Arabidopsis thaliana: one gene and its partner. The protein of the gene in region 2 interacts with the protein of the main gene of each other region in a biochemical or structural test. Each region holds a gene or a part of one and is shown on either strand. Other genes may lie near its edges.

Region 1 (11,061 bases), on a different chromosome or scaffold from region 2:
GAATTAAGAAAAATTAACTTTTATATTTTTAATTATTTTTTTGTTAGTTTAATAAATATTAGTTGAGTATTTATAATAAATGACTATAGATTTGAAAAGAATGTACAAACTAACCTTGAGTCACAGTATCTTGTCGGAAACATGTTGGAGAACACGTGTAATTACGTAAATGTCCTTTGTAACATGTTATTTTTCCGAAATACATGCGATAACATAATATCCTCTTTTTATCTTGTTATTTTCTCTTATTACATAGTATTTGTAAAAAGCACGTAGTATTTTTTGGAAAAAACATTCTATTCAGTTTAATATCTCATTTTATCATGATATTTTGTAGTAATACACGTTTTTTTATTAAGATCACACTTGATTTCTTTAAAAATATATTCTTATTTTTTAGTAATACATGGTTTTTATTAAAATCACATATAATTTTTTTTTTTTAAGATTCTGTTCATGTAAAAGAATTTCATAATAATGTTTTTTCTTAAAAATTCATAACGTTTTTTGAAATAGCATGTTTTTAAACTAAATATAACATGTGAAATTTTAATGTTACATGCTATTTTGAAAATTTACACGGATGTGTTTCGTTTACTGTTCATCTTACAACAAATGAAGGGTAGCTTTGTTATTTCCTTTCTTCCGACAACGTGGATCCATGGTTATTTTGTAACAAAAAACTTTATCTCTGCTAGTTTCTTAATTTGTATGTTTTATTTGGTTATCTACTAATATTACTCATATTAGTTTTACTTCTCTCCTTTACTATTGGTTACAAACAAAAATAATAATGATTGTTTTCCAAATCATCAATTTTGGTGGAAAAAGTAAAAAAACTTAAAACATCAAATAACTAGGAAAAGAGAGAGTAATAATTTAAATACTTGATAACTAAAATGATGAGAAATTTTGCATACTAAAAGGTTAGATAAAAGCTTTGTTGGCAATGTTCGTTTGTTCATATGGATGATACAATCAAATGATCCACTCAAATGATCATCTAGATAATTCATATGGATGTTGTATGTTTCTGAATTTGGTTGTGCATCTAAACGAAACTAATTAACGTAGTACTAATTGACACCGCTGCAAAAGAACGACTCTACTTCAATCAACGTTTAAGAGCATCTCTTTTCTTAGAAACTTTTTGGGTTTTTCAAAATATTTTATTTTAATCAAACTGTAGATGCTATGTGTTAAGAACCTTTTTCCATGGGTTCTTGAGAAGCATTCTTCAATCTCTCTTTTACTTTATAATTACTTTTTTAATTGATGAGAACAACAATGGACATGCCCAAAATTTGTTACTCGGAAGAACTGTGCAACAAAAAAACAAATAAGAAACAAAGTTTACATGTTTTTACGAACTTGAAACGTGGATAGTCTATATTAGAAGCTTTTGATCAAACTGTAGATGCTCATCTTAAAAATAACATCAAATGGTAAATAATTTTTTAAAAATTGGTAAAAATAAAATAATAGATAGTACAAAATACAATAAATAAGAAATATTGACAAAAAAAAACAAATATGAAAAGAAATCTACGTACTTTAAAAACTTGAAACGTGAACGACATATATTAGATGAATTTAATGATCTAACGGTATCACCTCAAAAATCATGTTTATTTAGTAGAAATATTAATAAATAGATAGTAATACAAGAAATAATACATACAAAAATGTTGACCAAGAAAACAAATAAGAAACAAAATCTAGATGTTTTAAGAAACTTAAAACGTGGACGACATATATTAAAAGACTTTGATCTAACGGTAGATGTTCACCTCGAAAATCATGTCAATTTGGTTGAAATATTTGTAAATAGATATAAGAAACAATAAATACAAAAATGTTAACCAAGAAAATAAATAAAAAACAAAATCTACATGTTTTAAGAAACTTGAAACGTGGACGACATATATTACAAGACTTTGATCTAACGGTAGATATTCACCTCGAAAATCACGTCAATTTGGTAGAAATAATAATAAATATATAGTAATATAAGAAACAATAAATACAAAAATATTGACCACAAAAACAAATAAGAAACAAATCTATATGTTTTAAGAACCTTGAAAAGTGAACGGCATATATTAGAAGATTTTGATCTAACGATAGATGTTCTTGAAAATAATATCAAAATAGTAAAAATATTTAATGAAAATTATTTTAGAAAGATAATATTAGATAGTATAAAATATAATAAATGAGAAACGTTGACTGTAAAAAAAAACATGTTTTAAGAACCTCGAAACCTGAACGACATAGATTAGAAGATTTTGATCCAACGGTAAATGTTCACCTTGGAATTAACGTCAAGATAATTCCAAAATGCTATAAATTGAGGTTTTTGTTTTAGTTCTTCTTCACACTTACATATCAAATATATTTTATTCATTCTATAAACTAAAAGAAAAAATCCTTTCTCTCATCTCCCTTTCTGTTGCTTACCATTTTTTCAAAACTGTCTTTGAAGTGATGATATGGACAGGTTTTCTCTCCTGCTTTTTGTTTTATCTTTTAGAAATCCAAATTTTCATATCTCGTAGAATAGTAATCTCTTATTTATTAACCTTATGGAAATGAGTTTTTGTCCCTCGTAGACTTGTTGAGTGTGAATACAAAGGTGGTGTTTTCGCATTAAACCTTTTTTTTTTGCTGTGAAAAATGTTCTACTTTTGATAGGGTAAATGGGAGGTTCAAGGCCCATCATAATAGAAATCTTCTTCTTTTTTTATCATATGGATGCTCCTCCCCTCTAATCACTCATTTTATCATTCTCATTTTTTATATTTACCGCTAATGCAAGAATCTCATCTTCCAGCTTCTGGTCAGAGGCTTGACCATTTGTATATGCGCTTCTCCCATGTCCCGTATAAACCAAAATTCTCAAGGTTCTAGAGATTTTCTATACCGACATGGCGAAAGCGTAAACAAGAACAGTCAAGCATCTGACCAGGAGTTGAAAATGGAATCTTGAGTTAGAAGCGAATGTAAAGACATGAAATGAAGTGAGAGTGATCAAAGGCGACCAAAATCCAATGTTATGTACTTATGACTAGACAATTTTTAATTTTGTAGATGAATGAATACATGTTTGATATTTGAATACCCAAGTTAGACCTAAACTAATCGTCTAATCCAATGAAACTTTTTGATTTTTTTTGGTATTGGTAAGAATGTTTAATAAGATGAAAATATGTAGCATTTTGGCACATTTTTTCATATCAAAATATCACTTCTCACATAACAACAATTAACGAGCAAGAAAAATAAAGCCTATCATTGAGCTTCTTCCTCCTAATCCTATCATGGACTTGTAATGCTTGGACTCTTGGGGATCGTGTGGAGAAAAGATGATTCAGTAGAAAATGGAGTAGTTTTTTTTTACTGAAGTAAAAACTGAAAGGTTTGAATCCTTCTTAAGAGAGAGACTTTCACAGAGAAAACATTTAGAAAAACAAAAAAAAAGAAGTACCAAACGGCTTGGATCATCAAGAGGACATCACTAAAAACTAGAATCACGAGGACTTCATTACTACATGCATTATAATCATAGAAAAATTCAGAGAAGCTAAATTAAAACCCTATAAAAAAGGTTAGGTTTTTAAAAGATTCAAAGGACCTACCACTTTTACGTTTCTTCATCACATCCTCTACGTTCTCGTGACTCTCTCTTTCTATCTCTAACCGCCATTAACTATGTCTCCTCTCTATCTCTCTAAATCTTTCTTTTGTACGGATACATACAACGTATATAAAAGTTCTTAAAACATTAAGTAAGCATTTAAAGAAGAAAACAAACAAAATGGTAGGGTCTATTCTTTGCTCTGCCTCTTCCTTCACCATTCTTTTCTCTGTTTTTTCTTAAAAATCTCAATGTTTTTCTTCACTCTTACATCATCAAAGCTCATTTCATCAGCTAATACCAAAGCTATACCTTTAACATAACTGTTTTGTCTGTATATGTGCAAATGTTTTGTCTGTCTTCTTTGAGAAGTTCACTCATGAACAAAGATGAAGACTTTAAAAAAAATTCTTGAGCATAGCTTTAAGATGAAACATAAATGGAAGTTAACATTGCTAATAAAAGGTTGAAGTTATGTATCCAACAACAACAACCTCAAGTTCTCAAAAGCTTAATTTAAAAACAACTCTCATTTGCAATTGCATTACATGCTTAGATTGAAGTTATGACATAAGAAAAAAAGTTGAGAAGAAAATTGCAGATTTAAAGGGACTTAGTTCTTCTAGCTCTGCTTCAACAGATGCTTAATGGACTCGAAGTCAGGATCAGATCAGATCATACCAGCATACCCTGCTGTATCGAAAAGCACTGCTTTGATTTGATCAGGCAGTATCTCTTGTCCTTCTTGGCATTGCTGATAGACAAAAGAAAACATGTTACTACTAAAACTGTTCTACAAATCCTTAACCTTTCAACTGAGAGTAGAAGATCACCTCAGCGCGGAAAACATCCAAGGCAAACCCATTAAAACAGCTGATCACAGCTTGCTGAACATCCAATCCAAGATTATCCAAAGCTTTCATGGTAGCGAGCAACAGACCCGGTCTACGACCACAGAACATATGAATGTTCACTGCTCTTCCTTCCCTTAATCTAACCTCAACCTGTGAAAAAGAAGCAGAGTAATCTCTCAAACATGAATCTTTGTTTTCTTCTTTCCAGTCTAAGCAAAAGTTATACAGAATATAGTCCTTACTCTAGCTTGCTGGCCTTTAGGACTTGGTAAAGAAGAGGGACACAACTCTTCCTTGACACGACAAGAAAGAGTTTGCGGTGTAGGTGTCAACGGATGGAAGCTTGATGAAGTTGGAGGCAAAGATCCAGGAGGAGTTGACTCAAGTTCATTGTGAAGATCATTGATCCTTTGTAGAAGTTCCTTCAGATAATCAATTGCATCTCCAAGTATTGATGCTCTATCCATCTGCAAATTCATCGAAAATCCATAAAACACTATCACGAGCCTCTTCCTCAAAAGAGTAAAGCAACTACATGCAAAGTTTGACAACAACAAAGGCCCTACAAAGCTACAACACAACAATTCTCTATAACAGCAACAAGTAAACAAGCTCTTAAGGAGATAAAAGAGACAAAGTAAGTGTTTACTTTGCTGATCTTGGGGACAACTGATCTAAGCATATAAAGCCTATCATTAAGCTTCTTCCTCCTTCTCCTCTCAGCCATCAGATTCTTAGCAGGCATACCTTTCTTCTTACCCTTTCCTCCTCCTCCAATCTGAACACTCTCAGCCGCTTTACCGCTCTCATTTATCTCATCAGACTCATAGTTCAACCCAGAAACCTCAATCCCAGTCTCATCCATATCTCCATCATCACTAAACCTCCTCATTCCCGAACTCTCCGAATTTCCCATTTTGCTTCCAGAGCTCTGACGCATAGCTGCACGTTTCTGGAACAGAGTAGGCTGTGCACCAGACGATGCTAACACCTCTAAAGGCTTCAGAACTTTCGCTCTGTTCCCAACAAAACCACCATTAGCAGGACTACCAAAACCTTCCAACTCCAACGGAGCTGTGAAACCACCACACAACATTGTGTTGTTGTTGTTGCTTTCCGGCGCAAGAAGTGACCGAGCAGACAAGAAATCAGGAACAGAACTCAAATCCCTGTTCCCCAATTGTGTCAAAGAACCAAACCCCATCGAAATAGGAGCATGGATTTGGTTAAGAAAACCAGATTCAGAGCCAAACTCAAAAGCATTATCAAAAGGGTTTGCAGAAGAAGGAACATTGAGAAGACAACCCTTGTTGTTGTTAGTTGACAAGAACTGATTTTGCTGAGAAGGGTCAAGACTAAAAGCTTGAGAAGGAGAACAAGAAGAAGAAGAATCAATAGAGTGTTGAAGAAGAAGATTATCATTAGGGTTAAAAGGAAAACCACCAAAGTATCTGAAATCTGGCTGATTCTGTAACATCTGAAGATCTTGTGGATGTGGTTGGTTACTACTAAACCAATCACCTTCAAGCATAGGCTTAAACTGAGAAGAACCATCTTCTTGATTCCTTCCCCATGAACCTTCCTCGTTCTCTTCCCTTTCTCCACCACCACCGTTTAACCAAACCCCTCCACCATTGTTTCCGTCAAGACCCATCGCCAAAGTTGACACCTTTACCCCAAAGTCTGAACCTTTAGAGGAAAATTCTGCAAAGTTGAGACCTTTAACTGAAATTTGGAAGCTTGAAGACAATTCTGCAAAAGTTTGAAAACAAAAGATATATACTTTGAATATTCAGAGACTTGGAAAAGTAAAAAAAGAGAAGCATTAAAGTAGAATCACGAGGATTTCATGAATTGAAGAAGCGAAATCTGAAAAGGAAGATAGAGATAGAGAGAGAGAATGATAGATTCATTTCTCAGAGCTTTCAAAAATTGAAACTTTTTTTTTGATGGATTCAATTTCGGCCACCATGAAATTGCTTTATCATTGAACACATACCCCAGATTTCTCGTGACTCTCTTTGCTTTGCTTCGTTTACCGTATCTCTCTCTCTCTCACCGTCACTATTTCTCCATTTTTCTGCTTAATTTTGGCTTAAGCTTATCTCTCTGTCTCTGTTGTCACTGTCTCTGTCTTTATATAGACAGTGTTTAAGTAAGTTAATGATGATGATGATAATTTCAAAGTGTAATTAGCATCATTCATGCAACGCGTGTCTTCCATGCATTTCTTTAACTCATATTATTACCTAATTATTGTTATGTACTTAAAAGTTCTTTTTCAAAAGATGGTAATAAAATTTATTTTATATTCTTACTATTAAATATATTTCCTTTTATTTTTTGTATTTTTTTAAAAAATTATAAATAATTATGTTGTAACGCATATCTCGACTTTACCGGCGTCGACATCTTTTCGATGGTTCCTAAGCTTCTTGAACAAAGCCACATCAAGCTCAAGTTTGTAAGTAAATAGTTTAATTTCATAAGTCTTTTAAACATTAATTAAGTAAGGACGAGTAATTCCAAATTTTCTGATGATTGTAGCGTTTATCACCATTATCAACTAAATTGAGTTCCCAAAAAAATATAGTTGTGTTGCGATATGCTTTCTAGTCTTCTAGAGGAAGTAATTAGGGATTCATTTTCTAAAAAGTTTTGTTAGTTTCAATTGTGGCTTTGTGCCTTAAATTGGCTTTTTGCTTATATAGTTTTGGTTTATGCTTTATTATTAGAGAATTTGTTTTTCTACCGGCTAAGATTCCGGAGATTTAAACGTGTTCTCCGGCTATCTATCTTAGTTTCCTTCATTTAAAGGTTTTAATAAACATTGAATTTTTTTTTTTTTATGGGCTGTTTGTTGCAGTCCACCCATACTATATGGGTTCAATTAGGATCACTATGTAGTAGACCTCAGCCCAATTCATTATGTATTTTTTATCTTCTTTCTAATTTCATACAAACTATAAAATTCTACCTAAATAACCAATTTCCATTTATTTCTGTAGTTGTAATTTATAATCAATAATTCGCGTTTATTGTTTCGAAATTTGAGTAAATCTGAATTTAAGACTCGGTCAAACTTTTTAAGACTCGGCCAAGCTTTCAAAGTGTTTTTGACATGTTGTTGGGAAGGTTTTAAACTCGGATTTACTCTAATCGCGAAATAGTAAACATGAATTATTGATTTTAAATTGTAATTACATATAATAATTGAATTTGGTAAATTGGGTAGAATGTGGAATTAGATAGAACAAAAAGAGCAGAAGGTGAATTGGATAGAGGTCAAAAATATTGGTAATCCTAGTTAAACGCATATAATACATGTGGATTGGTACAAACAGCCATTTTTTATTTATGCATCAAGTACGGTAGTGCATTTTATCCGTTTCATGAATATTGATTTTGCAAATTTTCATTTCACACAGATTAAAAATTTATACTGCATTTTCTTTCTTTCTATCTACTTCTTTTTATTTACTGTAGCTATACATGATTTGATTTTCAATAATAAACACTTCCCAAGAATTATAATTCAATATTAGTTTTACTTTATTTTAAAGCTACTATAATACACATAGGAATCTTGAAGATTGATCTTTGATGAAATGGATGACGTATCTATTTCACCAGTTTCAATATATTGTTTCTTTGCAAATATATGAAAATAGTCTCTTTGTTTTCAATAAATCCAGCATGGCTTGAACAAAATAAACTTACTCATTAGAAATTTTTTAAAGATGAATATGAACAACTTAAAGCTTATTTTTAACTCCATCAAATTAAATGGTAATGGTTAGTGTGCAAGGAAAACTTATTTCCAAGTAGTCGATATATCCTTCATTTGGTAGCAATTTGGTGAATGTGCTGAATCAACTAGCAACTCAATGTTCTTCAAAATTTGGGGTAGAATCTTCGGAGTGCTCTTCAACTTCGATTTGAGAAATCATTATTATTTTTTGTTTCGATCCATTACAATCACCGCAATGTTAAGTTTATTAAAACTGAGATCACTAGGTAGAAAAGTAGAACCACTTAATTTGCTTTTCATATATAAGTTCAAATTTAAAGAAATTATTTTTTTGGTTTTCCCTAAGGTTTGGGGTTGAAAATTTTGAAAGAAAGTAATAGAGTTCGATATATGTATATTAATTTCTTTCCAGTTTTGATGTTTAAAGAAAAACTATGTAATTCGAAAAACAAAATCTACTTAACGATGTTATTGACGGTGGTCCGGTTGTCTTTAGTTCGACTAGCATCATATCCAAATATAGTTTAAAATATCAGTTAATTTTCTGTTAAAGACATGAAATGTCTTAACATGTGCATGCCATCCACACTAAATTTTCTACGCCAAAGAAAATTCAATTGTATAAAATTGGAAGACCATAGGTTTGTCTACGCATAAAAAAATGTTCAAAAAAATGCATGATCATCGTTAAGTTATTACTCTCACCCACAAACTTACAACTCTATAGATTAACTATTCTTTGTAGGCATGATCATCACTAGATTGTAGTCGAAGTTTATAAGCAAAAGTTAATCCCAGTCTCTTACACTTCTAACAACCCCAACAATATTTTCTTCTTCTAACTTAACTTAGTTATAATAAAACTAAGCAAACATTTCTTTATTGGGCTTTAACCAAAACCGATGGCCCAAAATACTTCTCAGCCCAAACCATTATCTTCTTCTCCTTGTTGACTTTTCTGTTGACCATCTCCACCAGCAATAATAACTACAAGGCCTAACCTGATATGCATTCGACGAGATATGTATTCGACGAAAAAGAAAAAGAGAAATATGCATTATAGAAACAAGAGGCCTAATCTGACAAAACAAGATTTAGACTGTACCAAAATAAATAATTTAAGTAAAAATATTTTTAAAATAATGTAAACGTTTTTGTGAGCTTAGACAATTAAAAAATAGCCAAAGTTATTTATGGACTTTATTGACTAAAATGAATATAAAACTTATATGATAAAACTAAAATGAAATATATGAGTATATTATAGGCCTTTGTTTGTATTTCGTATGTGATCCCTATGAGGAAACTAATAAGCTTGGAATATTAGATCATATTGGTAGCTAGATCAAGGTGTTAAACCTCGTAAATTCAATTGTTAGATTAAAGAGAGAAATGTATATGCAAAAGACAGAGGAGAAACACATACGTTAAAGTTAGGCTTTTTGAAGTTTGAAATAAAAAAATGGTTAACACTTCGTCTGTTCTTACCCATTTCATTTAATAAAGTATGAAAACAAATGATAAAGCTCAAGATATGTTGATCATTTCCAGAGTACAGTGTTAAACAAAATTTTGTGTATTTCGATTGTACAAAGAATGCATATGAGAGATAGAAAAGACTTGAATATATGACCATTTCAAAGCAAAGTACTCTACTAATTGTTGTGTTAGTATATCAATTAATTGTTATTCCTTTTAACTAGGGATTTGACCAAATGTTTTATTAGAAAATTAAACAACTTTGTTGTATGTAATAGCCGGAATTTTTTTGGATTAGAGTAGTCATTTTAGCTTATCCAATTTTTTTTTTTTTTTTGCGATATCATTCGCTATGAAAAATTATTCAATTTTGAAAATCTTGTGTGGTTTAAAACTAAGGTTCTTACATGCGTCATTCAAATGAAAATAGCTCCATCTTTCTTCATCTTAATTGATCATATTAATTGTCTATAATTAGTGTTAACAGCTATGAAGATTTTATTTTGGCATATCGATTTCGGCACAATATAAATAGAGAAGAATCGGAAGAAAATATTGGAGACAACGACATACTTGATGACAACAGAGATAATGGAGGTGGAAGTGACGGTGAAGACATAGACAAAGTAGATGTTAACGATGATAGTTATAAATATGTCAACTAATTAAGAAAACACCAAAATCACATATCATATCTCTAACTATTTTGTGCAAAACAAACATGAAAGTCGTTCATATTTGCAACTTTATTATTCATGTTCAAAAAATACAAAATAATCATATAAAGGAAAAAATAATACACAATATACCCATCAAAGTCTGGGTGGTGTAGTCGGTTATCACGCTAGTCTCACACACTAGAGGTCCCCGGTTCGAACCCGGGCTCAGACATATCTAAAATATCTGGAGATGTATGGTCTTTGGGCTTGAACTTCCATATATTAAAAAATATATATATATATACATAATATATCCCTTTTTCATTGTTGTCAAATTTTAAAATTTTGATAAGTAATATATCAAATCAAAAGTCTCGATATGGAGAGTTCAACTATATTTTTAGAATTTTTAAAAACAAATGTATATAATTGTGAAAACGCTTACAATATGTGCAAAAGATGCAAAAATGAGATTTATTGCGTATTATTTTAGATTTCATAGGATTATTTTGCATTTTTTGACGTGAAAAATAAAATTGCAAAAATGAGTGACTTAGAGAATTTTTTCACAACCCTTATATAATTGAAGAAAATTTGAAATCAATTACGTGTCTTGCAATTTTAATTTTAAAACAATTACGTATTTCTTTTTGACATTAGGTTTAGGGTTGGTGATATTCC
Region 2 (11,061 bases):
GAAACTAAAACAGATATTTCTTCTTCAGTTGTTTATAAGACCTAGCTAGCAGCTTAGTAAAGTGATGAAAAAGGTAATGCAACATCAAGAACATGGTCCACATTTTTAGGTCCCTTTGATGTTTTCAGGAAAGCATTAGTCTCAGACAGGGAACAAACCAGTCTCTGTTGTAGTATCCATAGAACCTTCCCTCGTAGACATCTGATGGCTTGAGTTAATCCCGTTTGTAGTTGCAGGATCTCCATGATTCCCAGAGGCGCTATCGCCTAGCCTAAGCGAGATCCAGTCTTCACTACGGAGACCATTTGACATATCAGCTTGGTTTTTAAAACCCGACTGAGCTGAAGCATCTGGTTTTGTTGGCAAAAATATTTGAAGTGAGGGATCGTCTCTACCAAATGCAAGAGGATTGTCAACTAGGCCATCGTTTGCTTCAGATCGGCCAGTAGAGCCAGGAACCACAGGAACAGATGCCATTGATGTCTCAGGAGCCATGGTATAACCTCCATTTATTTCAGGAGAACAGTTTAGTGGACTATGATGATGCAAACCAACTAAACCTCCTGAAACGTCAGCATCAGATCTAAATAGTTGGAACCCAGGGGCTTCTGGAGTTTCAGAAGGAAATGACCAAAGGGGCGTATCAAATTCATCATCATCATTGAAAAGACCTAAGCCTGAACTTCCCCCAGCTATGCTGTGTGGGTCCTCATTATATGAGTTAATTATTCCAGGAGGGTTCAGTGGAAAAGTAAGTCCACCATCTGTTTGACAACCACTGTATGCAGGCCCTGGAGTGATCACTAAATCATTCTCGTCATCAGAATCACTCAGAACGATGACTTCATTATTTCCACCCTCGCCAGATTGGTTTCTGTCAGGAAAGTTATAACCTGAATCAACATTCATGGAAATGGAATCAAGTTCCATGCCGTTGGCTACAAAGTCAAAAGTTCCAATAGCATCCTGGTTTACGCTTGCATCATCACCATCCCTACCACTTCCAGTAGCACTACTACTCATTGGTATAATATTCTTCTCCTGATACCCAACCTTTTCTTGCCTATTACTGGAAGATAATCCATTTGTATTAGGTTTGCTAACTTCCCAAATGCCATTACGATTCTTCCTTATTCCAAGTTTTAGCGGGGCTGGACCATCTGAGTAACCTTCTTGCTTAACCGGTAACATTTCCATCTTCCGTTTAATATCAACAGCAGAGGGGCAAAGGCTACCATCAGGTGCATGCCACTGTGAGAGTTCCCCCAGTTCCCTTCGCTCACTCTCTCTTTTGAACTTTACACGCCAAGAACCATCAGGTTTCACTTCAATTTCAGTCACCTCTTCATCACAATGCTTCATCTGTCGTGCAGGAAGACAACTACTGAATAAAAGCGTAGATACAAAGATTTTAAGAATTCTTGAATTCCCATAAGAATACATACCTTAGACGTGATACGGTTAAAATAAGGATCGACGATTACATGCTCCACTGAGTAGTTCTTCAGACAAATAGGGCACTGCCACTGCATGTTAACAAACCCCAGAACAACTAAAGTCAGAAAACAAGAGACATAACCCAATATCTAGACAAGGATAGTAGACCTACCTTTCTGGAACGTTGATTCAACTCCACAAACACATCAAGGTCAAAACAGCCCATGTGCACACAGGGTAAAAATCTCCCAGCAACTTTTATCCTAGAACCGCTCATCTAATGACGCAAACAGAAAAGACAATAAAAAAAATTCAGTCTGCAAGATAGCCCTAGGAAGAGGATAAGTATAAAAACTGGGCTACGAGCTATTAGTAACTTACAGGACACCGAAGATTGACACCGAAGAAATCAGCAACAACTTCAATGTCACTATCACTGTCGGCATTATCATCTCCACCTCCACCTCCAATGCATCGGCGGACACGTGCAAGAGCATCTTCAAAAGTCTCCCCTTTACCCTCTTCTGGAATCAAATTTAGAACCTAGATGCAAAAATGAGTATATATATAAGCAACTTGGAGATCATTAGATCATTAACGTACAATATGAATTCCTCTGTATACAAGAACACCAACAAAAGTGATAAATATATTGATTAAAGGGATAAATGTTGCAGCACAAGGACAGACTACACTTCCGTAACCAAATCTCATACAAGGCCAGGCTCAGTGGCTCATATACGTGAAATATAGGAAGAAGAATAGGACTGTGAAATTTGAAATCTGACTAACTTTTCTAGATTTAGTGGGAGTGGGAAATAACATGGGAATAGTTTAACGTAAGTGTGTAACCACAGGTAACTTCCACAAAATTACTTTCTTGGGTACGCCAACATAATTTATTCTTTCTTTTTGTATTCAGAATATTAATTTCGTTCCTTTTTGAACATTTATGTTTGGACTCTTCATTGACCACATATACGACCAAATCTTTGAATGTTTCTTATGCATATATGTTATCAGTACCTGTTGTAGAGTCCTGCGCTTCACAAGTCTGACCCCAAAACAAAAAATCCGAACGTCACCTCCACTCAAGGATATTCTGTTAACTCCATCCCTAATACAAGATGTAATCTGCCAAAATAGTAAAATGAAATGGTTAAAACTTACATCACTGATTGCTAGATTTTCAATGTATGAGAGATTGACTCCTATATGTAATTCAAAAGGGTTACTACTCAAAAGGGATGATAAAAAACACACAATGGGTCCATCGTCGCGGCCGTTGACTCCCAAAAGCTGTCCTCCAGGTCGATTAATTGCACGTACAGGCACACCTATGAAATGATAGGGTATATATCATGAATCCCACATCAGAAACATACACAGTCTTATTGAGTATGATCAGAATAACAGACAAATAAAGACAATGTGAATGTGAATGGAATGTGCCCACAGGAATTTATGCAACATGAAATAAAACAACATTCCCCTGTTTCAAAGGAAATGCTCAACCGACTAAAACTCTGGTCGATGTCATTGTCATACCATTGACCTGCAGATCAGCATACTGAGGCCACTGCATCCTAAAGAGAACTTTATCATTCAAGAGCATACACCAAGCCTAAACAAAATTGATTTCCAGTTAGAAACGTATAGGTAGATACACCTTGACATATTAAATGTAGTTTACAAAACCCAACCTGAACATCGTACTCTGGTTTGGCCAAAAGGTCCTTGTCTGCCCTTGTGATTTGAAATGTTCTCTCCACACTCTGCATTGTGCTTGCACTGAAAAGTTTTGGATCGGAGTATTAGTACAAACAAAAGCCAGTAACAGTATTTCTTCAGCAGGTGCTATGCATATAGCCAGGAAACAATTGTCATTCTTGAAACTAGAATGAATGTCTTATACCAGTTCCAAGTAGAAAATTTAAAGTCAAAGTGACTTATAAAGTACCAATTCACACAATAATGGCACTGAAAGTACACTCGTTCAAAGCAATAGCAATATCAAGAATATAAAATTCTTACCCATCATTTGGGATAGTCGTTGCAGTCAGCCTCACTGGAGAGAGTGGATGTGCCACTGTAACCCAAAATCTGAACAAGGAAACCATGTAGGAAAACCGTGAATAATCATGCTATAGGATATCCACAGGTGCTAATGTAAAGATAGGAAATAATATATAAAAGAAAATTGACAACTATGAAAACAGTACTAGAAGAAGAAGAACAATCAAACGCAAAGAAACTAGAATGCAAAGCATGTCAAATGTATAAATATGTCTTTCTTTTCAGTTATGGCAGGAAAGAATCATAAAGCAGTGAGGGAGGAACTCAGATGGAAAATCAATCACATATCAAACTTAAACTCAGACAGGAAAAGTAAAATCCTTGAAACACATACGGGTCAGCTCGAGTAAGTCGGCAGATTTCACAATAAAATGATTCCGGAAGTGGTGGATTCCCATCCATAGGCTTATCTGGGAGAATAACACAGCCAACATGCTGCCAAACATGGCATCTTGGATCCTCACACTGAAATCGGAAGAAAAAAAACAAAAATTACAGCCAGAAAGTATCACCAAACTTCACAAATGTAATCAATGATAAATACATCACACCATCGACCATAAAATACAAAGAAATTGTCTACAGTCAGCTCAAACAGGAATAAACGCAGTGAGTTCATCCCAGATTACCTGTATCATTGAGTCTGTTTCTAGCGAGTTTCCACAAACACATCGAACTTTAATTTCTGGTTGGAAGGGGTCTTCAGGCTCTCCCTTAACTTTCAGATTACTGGTATCTGAACTCACTTGTCCTTTTGATGCTAAATCACTTGCCCCAGATACTTGCATTTTCCTATGGAACACAATATAAAATTAATGGTAACAAAGAACCGCCACAAAAAGCATGGCATCTCCTAAGAAATCTATTGAAAGAAACGAGCACTCACCTATATGTATCGTCCACTAATTTGGCAACTGCTTCCTTTGCCACTGTATTCTTTTTAGACAACAACCTGGCAGCTGTCAGTAGGGAATGAAAACGGAAGCTTATTAGAAGAAGATGGCAGAGCTAGCAGTGACTCTTAATACACCAAAACGTGAATAAACAAAAGCAAGTGGTTCATATAACCTTGTTCATCAGAAAGAAGGGTCAAGATCCGGTCGACAAGTTCCTGCACAAGAAAATTTCAAAAAGAAGTTAAATTTTTTGGTGAAAGAATAAAACAGATAACACTCTTTGCAAGGTAATGTCTTAGATTTATCTTGGAAACTGCTATATAGCTCAAGACAGCAATAATTATCACCCAAAACATCATCTTCTCTACTATAATCATTCCAAAACAATCACAAACATAATCACGACCAATGGAAGATTAGAGAACGATACTAACCTGCTTCTTTCCCTGTTTCGAAAGTCCCAGCTGAGTGAGCACATCCTTGAGCTCTTTTATCCGAAAATATGAAAGTTTTTCCTGCAACCCACAACAAAAACACAACGTTAAGCTTAACTAGAGCAAGACTAAATTCAATAACAGCAACCACGAACCATAATCCAAAACCCTTATGAGATAAAGGATCGTTTTTTACTCCCAGCAATACAATCTAGATCATAAACAAAACGGAAAAGCAAAGCTTTTTTGAAACATCCACTCTATATACCAATCAACACATTCATAACAAGTTCAAATCAACAAAAATTATAAACCAACAAGCATCCATAGATCTTTCAGACAATAATACCTTACAATTAGCTTCCAAATCCATGTCTTCAACACCAGACACAAACAAGAACCAAAAGCTCAGTTCAAAACACACGAACCTAAACTCCAGCAATTAGTCTCCATACAGCAACCGATCTAAATTAACAGAAAAAAAAGAAGGAGTTACTGAAACGAAAACCCTTGAAATTCCAAAAGACAAGACCTTTAAAGACTATTAAACGGAAAATACAAACCATGAAATCGGATACTTGATCAAACCCTATCGAAATTGATAGGTTAATGAGAGAATTGAGATGATTAGAAACTAGGGTTTTCACAGCTACGATAAGATTTTCTTTGGCCAAGGAAGAGGAAAATAAAAAGACAACCAAACCCAGACGAAGAAAAATCGATCCGCCGAGACGAAAACAAAACAAGGGTTGCCGGACGAGTCGCCGATTATCAAATCCGGTTTAATTTTCGCGCAATACGTCCGGGTTTAGTTCCTGTGTGGTCACGTGCACGGTCGTCCCCCCCACCAATATTGACGTGTTTTTGACTTTCGGTTCTCACACCACTTATTTACGACCGTAACGGAGTCTTTGTTATTTTAATCGAATATTCCCCACGTTTTATGACATCAGCCGTTCGATCAGACCGGACCGGTTTGTTATATTTTAACCTCAATTTGTTTATTTGCCGGTTTATAGTATATATCAAATCAATTTGGAAGTTTATCATCCGAAAACATGGTTTTCCATATGTCTCTCATGGCATATGTAGATATTGTATTATTTGATTCTAATTCTTCTAAGTAAGAATTTGGAAACATATTTCATGTCTCTTTTCTTCATTTGTTTTCATTGAATTGACATAGAATGTACATTGAATTGACATTTCTCACCCTCGCTAAATTCATTGAGAATTGTGGCTCAATTCTTCCATATGTGCATTATAGTTAAACTACGAATAAAGGATACAAGTGAGCAAAACCCTACTTTCAAGTTTCAACTAGTAAATCTATCGAATGGATTGCTAGACCGGATAATTCATACTCATTACGGGATGGTTCGTAAAACATGTGGGAAATTATCTTATATATCCACCAAATATTTGAGGTCTCGTAAGCATGTGATCTTGCAAATTGATACGTGGACCAAATTAGATATTGGACACATTTATATGTTCTTTCTATATGTAAAAAGCTTCATTCCGTGTGGAGTTCATTTGTTACAAGAAATGAGATATTATAGATATCAAATAGCATGAAGCTCTTTCTTCAACACTATTTCTACATACAAAAAAAAACATTATATACCAATTAGTGGTGGACTTCTGGTGATAAGATTTGGCTTTTTATCTTTTTGGATGCTGTGTTTTGAACAATGACTTGTCGAGTTTGAACCAAATTTGGTGTTAACCCGAGATATTAAAAAAAGGTTTAATTAGACCTATAGATTTTCCTTGTTCTGCTTAATGAAGATTCTAGAGTAGTCGTGAGCTGGTCTCATTGACTTGATATTTTTTTTGCTTCTAATGGAATGAGATATCTTGAGTTCATGATGTGGATAGTTTTCAAAGATTTGTCAACCTTTTCGTCTTAACATTTTTATATGTCCCTTGTCAAAGGCAAAGAAACATATCGAAAGTAAAAGAAAAGACATTTTTTTCTTGTGGGTGAGAATCAAACCAAACTTGTGAGAATTCTGCAAACGTACACAACTCTTAAATTGATAAAGCTTTTCTTGAAACTTTCAGGCTGAGGATGTGCTGCTAATCATGTGAGCTCCTTGCTGAGCTAACATTCAAAAGACCAAAACATATTTGAGCAAATAGCAAGAACCTATCTTGGAACAGATTATCATTTTAGGTAAGAGAAGACGATCTAGAGGCTCAAACCAAGGTCCTCTACGGAGCAGTTTCATTGTTTTTATGGTGTTACTATGTAAGTAGAAAGAGAATAGTTTATGAATATTAAGATGCATCTTTGTTAGAGGGTGATTATTGAACAACTGAAATACCTTGATCTCTCCGTATTAAGATGCATATATAAGGATTGCTACGTAGGAGAGATACCGTCACCACTAGTTAACTTCTTAGAAGAGGTGATGGCGCTATCTCTCCTGCGAAGCAAATCTTTATTTGCAGTTTTAAAACCATAGAAGAAGCAAGACCACTTGTATGTGTAATCACTCTATTAGTATCACCTCATCCATATATATATTATTACCTTAAGGTCAAAGAAGAGTGGACTTAATTTACACTGTCACTATCTTTGCTCTTAAATCATAATTGTCATTTAGTTTGCTGCTTTCTATGTGGCTACAATCAAATGATTATCAGGATTATTATCCCAAGTGAGGTCATGTTGTTAACGTCATCTCCAATGATTTGGCATTACCTTCATTTCCAAGAATTCACATTGATAAGTTTTTTTGTGTGTGTATATACTCTGTAGTTTATTTGAGCTCTTGATTTTGCATCTATACACAGATGCTACATATGTTCATGAACATAGATAGTGGAGAAAATTTTGGTACTTATCCATAACTAGTCCTTTGTGACCCATGTTACATATGTTGGTACTATGTCTCAAAAGCAATGACTTATCCATAACTAGTCCCTTGTATAATGTTGGTACTATGTACTATGAACAGCTCCTGGATTGTCACTTTGTAGCAAGTAGATTCTTGTAACACTCAACCATACCAACTAGCATATAATATTCTAATTATAGGCATAAATCTCAACAAAACACTTTTGACTGCTAGTTTTTAGTCTTTTTGGAGACCAAATTTCATTGTTAAGATTTGATCAAAAGGTATTATTCAAGTTATATGCAAATCATTGCAAGATTTGTTCCAATAATCATCAATTCCAAAAGTAAATGCCTTTGTCTCATTGTTACCATGTAATAAATGGTGAAAGTGATGTTAAATCTTGCATCACTGTTTTTAAGGGTCTGCTTAATACAGAAGTTTAGGTGGGAATTACTTTAATGAGCAAGTTGGTTCAAAAAACAAGTTGACAAGACTTGATATGAATGATTTAGCAGATGAGAGGCTGCATTTATTCTTGCTGAAAAAGAATAAAACTGAAAAGCCCTTATTGTCCTCGTCATACTTTTATCAATCCAACTGAGGAAAAAAAAAGAACAGTCCAAATTAGCTAGAGTTGTCTTTATTATCATGCGGAGGAAAAAAGGTAAAGTGAAACCAAAATTTATTTTCACTATAACACAAAGATCATATTCAGAACTATTTTCTTTTTAATTCACTCACAGACGGTACTTTTCTATAAAGTTTGATTAATGCATTTTAATAGTAGAAGAAGAAGAGACCATACCTAATACCTACTACTCTCAAATGCACAACACACCACAGGACAAAAAAATCTTTCTCTCATATTAATTACATGGTACCATTATATATCTATACTCTCTTTAACCCATTACCAATTCAAGATCTTGTCTTTTTTTTTCTTCTTAAAAACAAGATCCAAATTTCTGAAAAATCCATTCACTACAAAGAAAGAAATGCTGTCTACAACTCTTAGTGGTAACTATGGCTTCCCTCTGTGCATCTCTGGGATCACTCAGCAATTAAGTCTGTCCAAAGAGTAATATTTCTCTGTTTCACTTATGCTCTCTGTCTTGAGATCTTCTCTGTTTATTTGACTTGTCTCTTTTTCTCTCTCTCTGTGGATGTTGAAGAATGGCAGATCATGACAAGAGAAGGAAGGTGATACAGAGGAGAAGGAGATCAGAAGGTAAACATGAGTACAAGAGCCATGGTGAAGAAGATGTGGAGAGGCTTCAAGAGAATGAAGATGTTAGAGATCTAGTTGCTTTACTACAAGATCTAGGCTTGTGGAGCTTTTCTTCTCACACAGCCAAAGCTGCTTAGTGTTTTTACTTTTATTACAAGATGTTGTAGGTTTGTGGAGCTTTTCTTCCCCACACAGCAAAAGCTGCTGCTTAGTGTTTAAGAAATCCAAAAGCCTTTTCATTATTAGATCTCACTGAGTTTATGTTTCTTGTAGAACTGCAGATCACAGAATCTTTAGCTGGAAAGCATTTTAAGTTATTCGGGATGTTTTTCATTGTTGTTGTTGACACGTTTATTTGTCGTTGGTGAGATGTTTTTACTGCATCTTTTGGCCTTATCCATTTCTTTTGGTTTTTAGTTCTCAGCATTTTTTATTGATAAATTACTATTTCTGTTTGTTGATTGAGAACCTAAGTCTTTTTAAAAAGTTCGTATGAAGTAATTGTCAGAAAACACTAAGCACAAGTTAATTCTAACGAAACTATAGAACCCTATCTCTTACATAGATCTTAAAACGCTAAGTATGGTTGGGTTGATCTCTGAATGATTGTTTAAACAAGAACAAAGAAAGACAGCAACTTTGTAACACAACTCCTAAATAAGTTTCAAGCAAAATTATCCGGAAACTGCATAATTGAAAACCATAATAAAAAGTCTCAGAGATATCCAAAAAGGAGGGAGAGAGAAAGTCACAGAAATAAAGAGAAAAAAGAAAAAGGCTCAAACGCCATCAAAGTTTTAAGAACCAAAGAAAACCATAAGAGAGTCGATCATAACGAAAGTCTCATCATTTGGCACCCTTCTTCACTGCAGCCTTGGTGACCTTGGCTCCAGTTGGGTCCTTCTTGTCCACGCTCTTAATAACACCAACAGCAACGGTCTGCCTCATGTCCCTAACAGCGAAACGTCCCAAAGGTGGGTACTCGGAGAAAGTCTCAACAACCATGGGCTTGGTTGGGGTCATCTTAACCATACCAGCGTCACCATTCTTCAAAAACTTGGGCTCCTTCTCAATCTCCTTACCAGAACGCCTGTCAATCTTGGTCAAGATCTCAGAGAACTTGACTGCAATGTGAGAGGTGTGGCAATCGAGAACTGGGGCGTAACCGTTACCAATCTGACCAGGGTGGTTCATGATGATGACCTGGGAGGTGAAGTTGGCGGCACCCTTAGCTGGATCATCCTTGGAGTTAGAGGCAACGTATCCTCTCTTAAGATCCTTGACAGCAACATTCTTGACATTGAATCCAACATTGTCACCGGGAAGTGCCTCAAGAAGAGACTCGTGGTGCATCTCAACAGACTTAACCTCAGTGGTCAACCCTGTGGGAGCAAAGGTAACAACCATACCAGGCTTGATCATACCAGTCTCAACACGTCCCACTGGCACCGTTCCAATACCACCAATCTTGTAGACATCCTGAAGTGGAAGACGAAGGGGCTTGTCTGATGGCCTCTTGGGCTCGTTGATCTGGTCAAGAGCCTCAAGAAGAGTTGGTCCCTTGTACCAGTCAAGGTTGGTTGACCTCTCAATCATGTTGTCTCCCTCGAATCCAGAGATTGGCACAAATGGGATTTTGTCAGGGTTGTATCCGACCTTCTTCAGGTATGAAGACACCTCCTTGATGATTTCATCGTACCTAGCCTTGGAGTATTTGGGGGTGGTGGCATCCATCTGTTAGGCGAAAATAGAAAAAGACGCAAGTTAGCAACAAATAAAACGAATCAATCAATCACAAAAGCAGATACAATGATGAATACGAAAGTTATATTACCTTGTTACAACAGCAAATCATCTGCTTGACACCAAGGGTGAAAGCAAGAAGAGCGTGCTCACGGGTCTGACCATCCTTAGAGATACCAGCCTCAAAACCTCCAGTGGTGGAGTCAATGATAAGAACAGCACAATCAGCCTGGGAGGTACCAGTAATCATGTTCTTGATGAAATCACGATGTCCTGGGGCATCAATGACTGTGCAGTAGTACTTGGTGGTCTCGAACTTCCATAGAGCAATATCGATGGTAATACCACGCTCACGCTCGGCCTTAAGTTTGTCCAACACCCATGCGTACTTGAAGGAC

What was found.
Region 1: of the proteins of SIZ1 (region 2) and ICE1, one has a biochemical effect on the other in vitro, tested with the Arabidopsis thaliana proteins (one study listed by BioGRID).

What each region holds. Positions count from the first base shown.
Region 1 is NC_003074.8:9,828,646-9,839,706, forward strand, and holds ICE1 (basic helix-loop-helix (bHLH) DNA-binding superfamily protein), read right to left. Parts: upstream 6,628-11,061; 5' UTR 6,491-6,627; exon of another isoform or gene 6,244-6,490; 5' UTR 6,146-6,243; coding exon 5,141-6,145; coding exon of another isoform or gene 5,054-5,140; exon of another isoform or gene 4,959-5,053; coding exon 4,734-4,958; intron 4,642-4,733; coding exon 4,471-4,641; coding exon of another isoform or gene 4,441-4,470; exon of another isoform or gene 4,392-4,440; coding exon 4,308-4,391; 3' UTR 4,022-4,307; downstream 1-4,021. Other genes in the region: AT3G26742 (uncharacterized protein), read left to right, coding at 2,755-2,910.
Region 2 is NC_003076.8:24,289,381-24,300,441, reverse strand, and holds the start of SIZ1 (DNA-binding protein with MIZ/SP-RING zinc finger, PHD-finger and SAP domain-containing protein), read right to left. Parts: upstream 5,682-11,061; 5' UTR 5,407-5,681; intron 5,309-5,406; 5' UTR 5,217-5,308; coding exon 5,193-5,216; intron 4,925-5,192; coding exon 4,844-4,924; intron 4,625-4,843; coding exon 4,582-4,624; intron 4,473-4,581; coding exon 4,400-4,472; intron 4,306-4,399; coding exon 4,143-4,305; intron 3,979-4,142; coding exon 3,848-3,978; intron 3,541-3,847; coding exon 3,472-3,540; intron 3,229-3,471; coding exon 3,141-3,228; intron 3,062-3,140; coding exon 2,986-3,061; intron 2,775-2,985; coding exon 2,701-2,774; intron 2,572-2,700; coding exon 2,464-2,571; intron 1,981-2,463; coding exon 1,819-1,980; intron 1,715-1,818; coding exon 1,610-1,714; intron 1,527-1,609; coding exon 1,446-1,526; intron 1,363-1,445; coding exon 159-1,362; coding exon of another isoform or gene 142-158; exon of another isoform or gene 1-141. Other genes in the region: AT5G60400 (uncharacterized protein), read left to right, coding at 8,688-8,770, 8,865-9,057; AT5G60390 (GTP binding Elongation factor Tu family protein), read right to left, coding at 9,767-10,654, 10,755-11,061. UniProt on the Arabidopsis thaliana protein: E3 SUMO protein ligase involved in regulation processes. Mediates SUMO/ attachment to PHR1, a MYB transcriptional activator controlling the phosphate deficiency responses.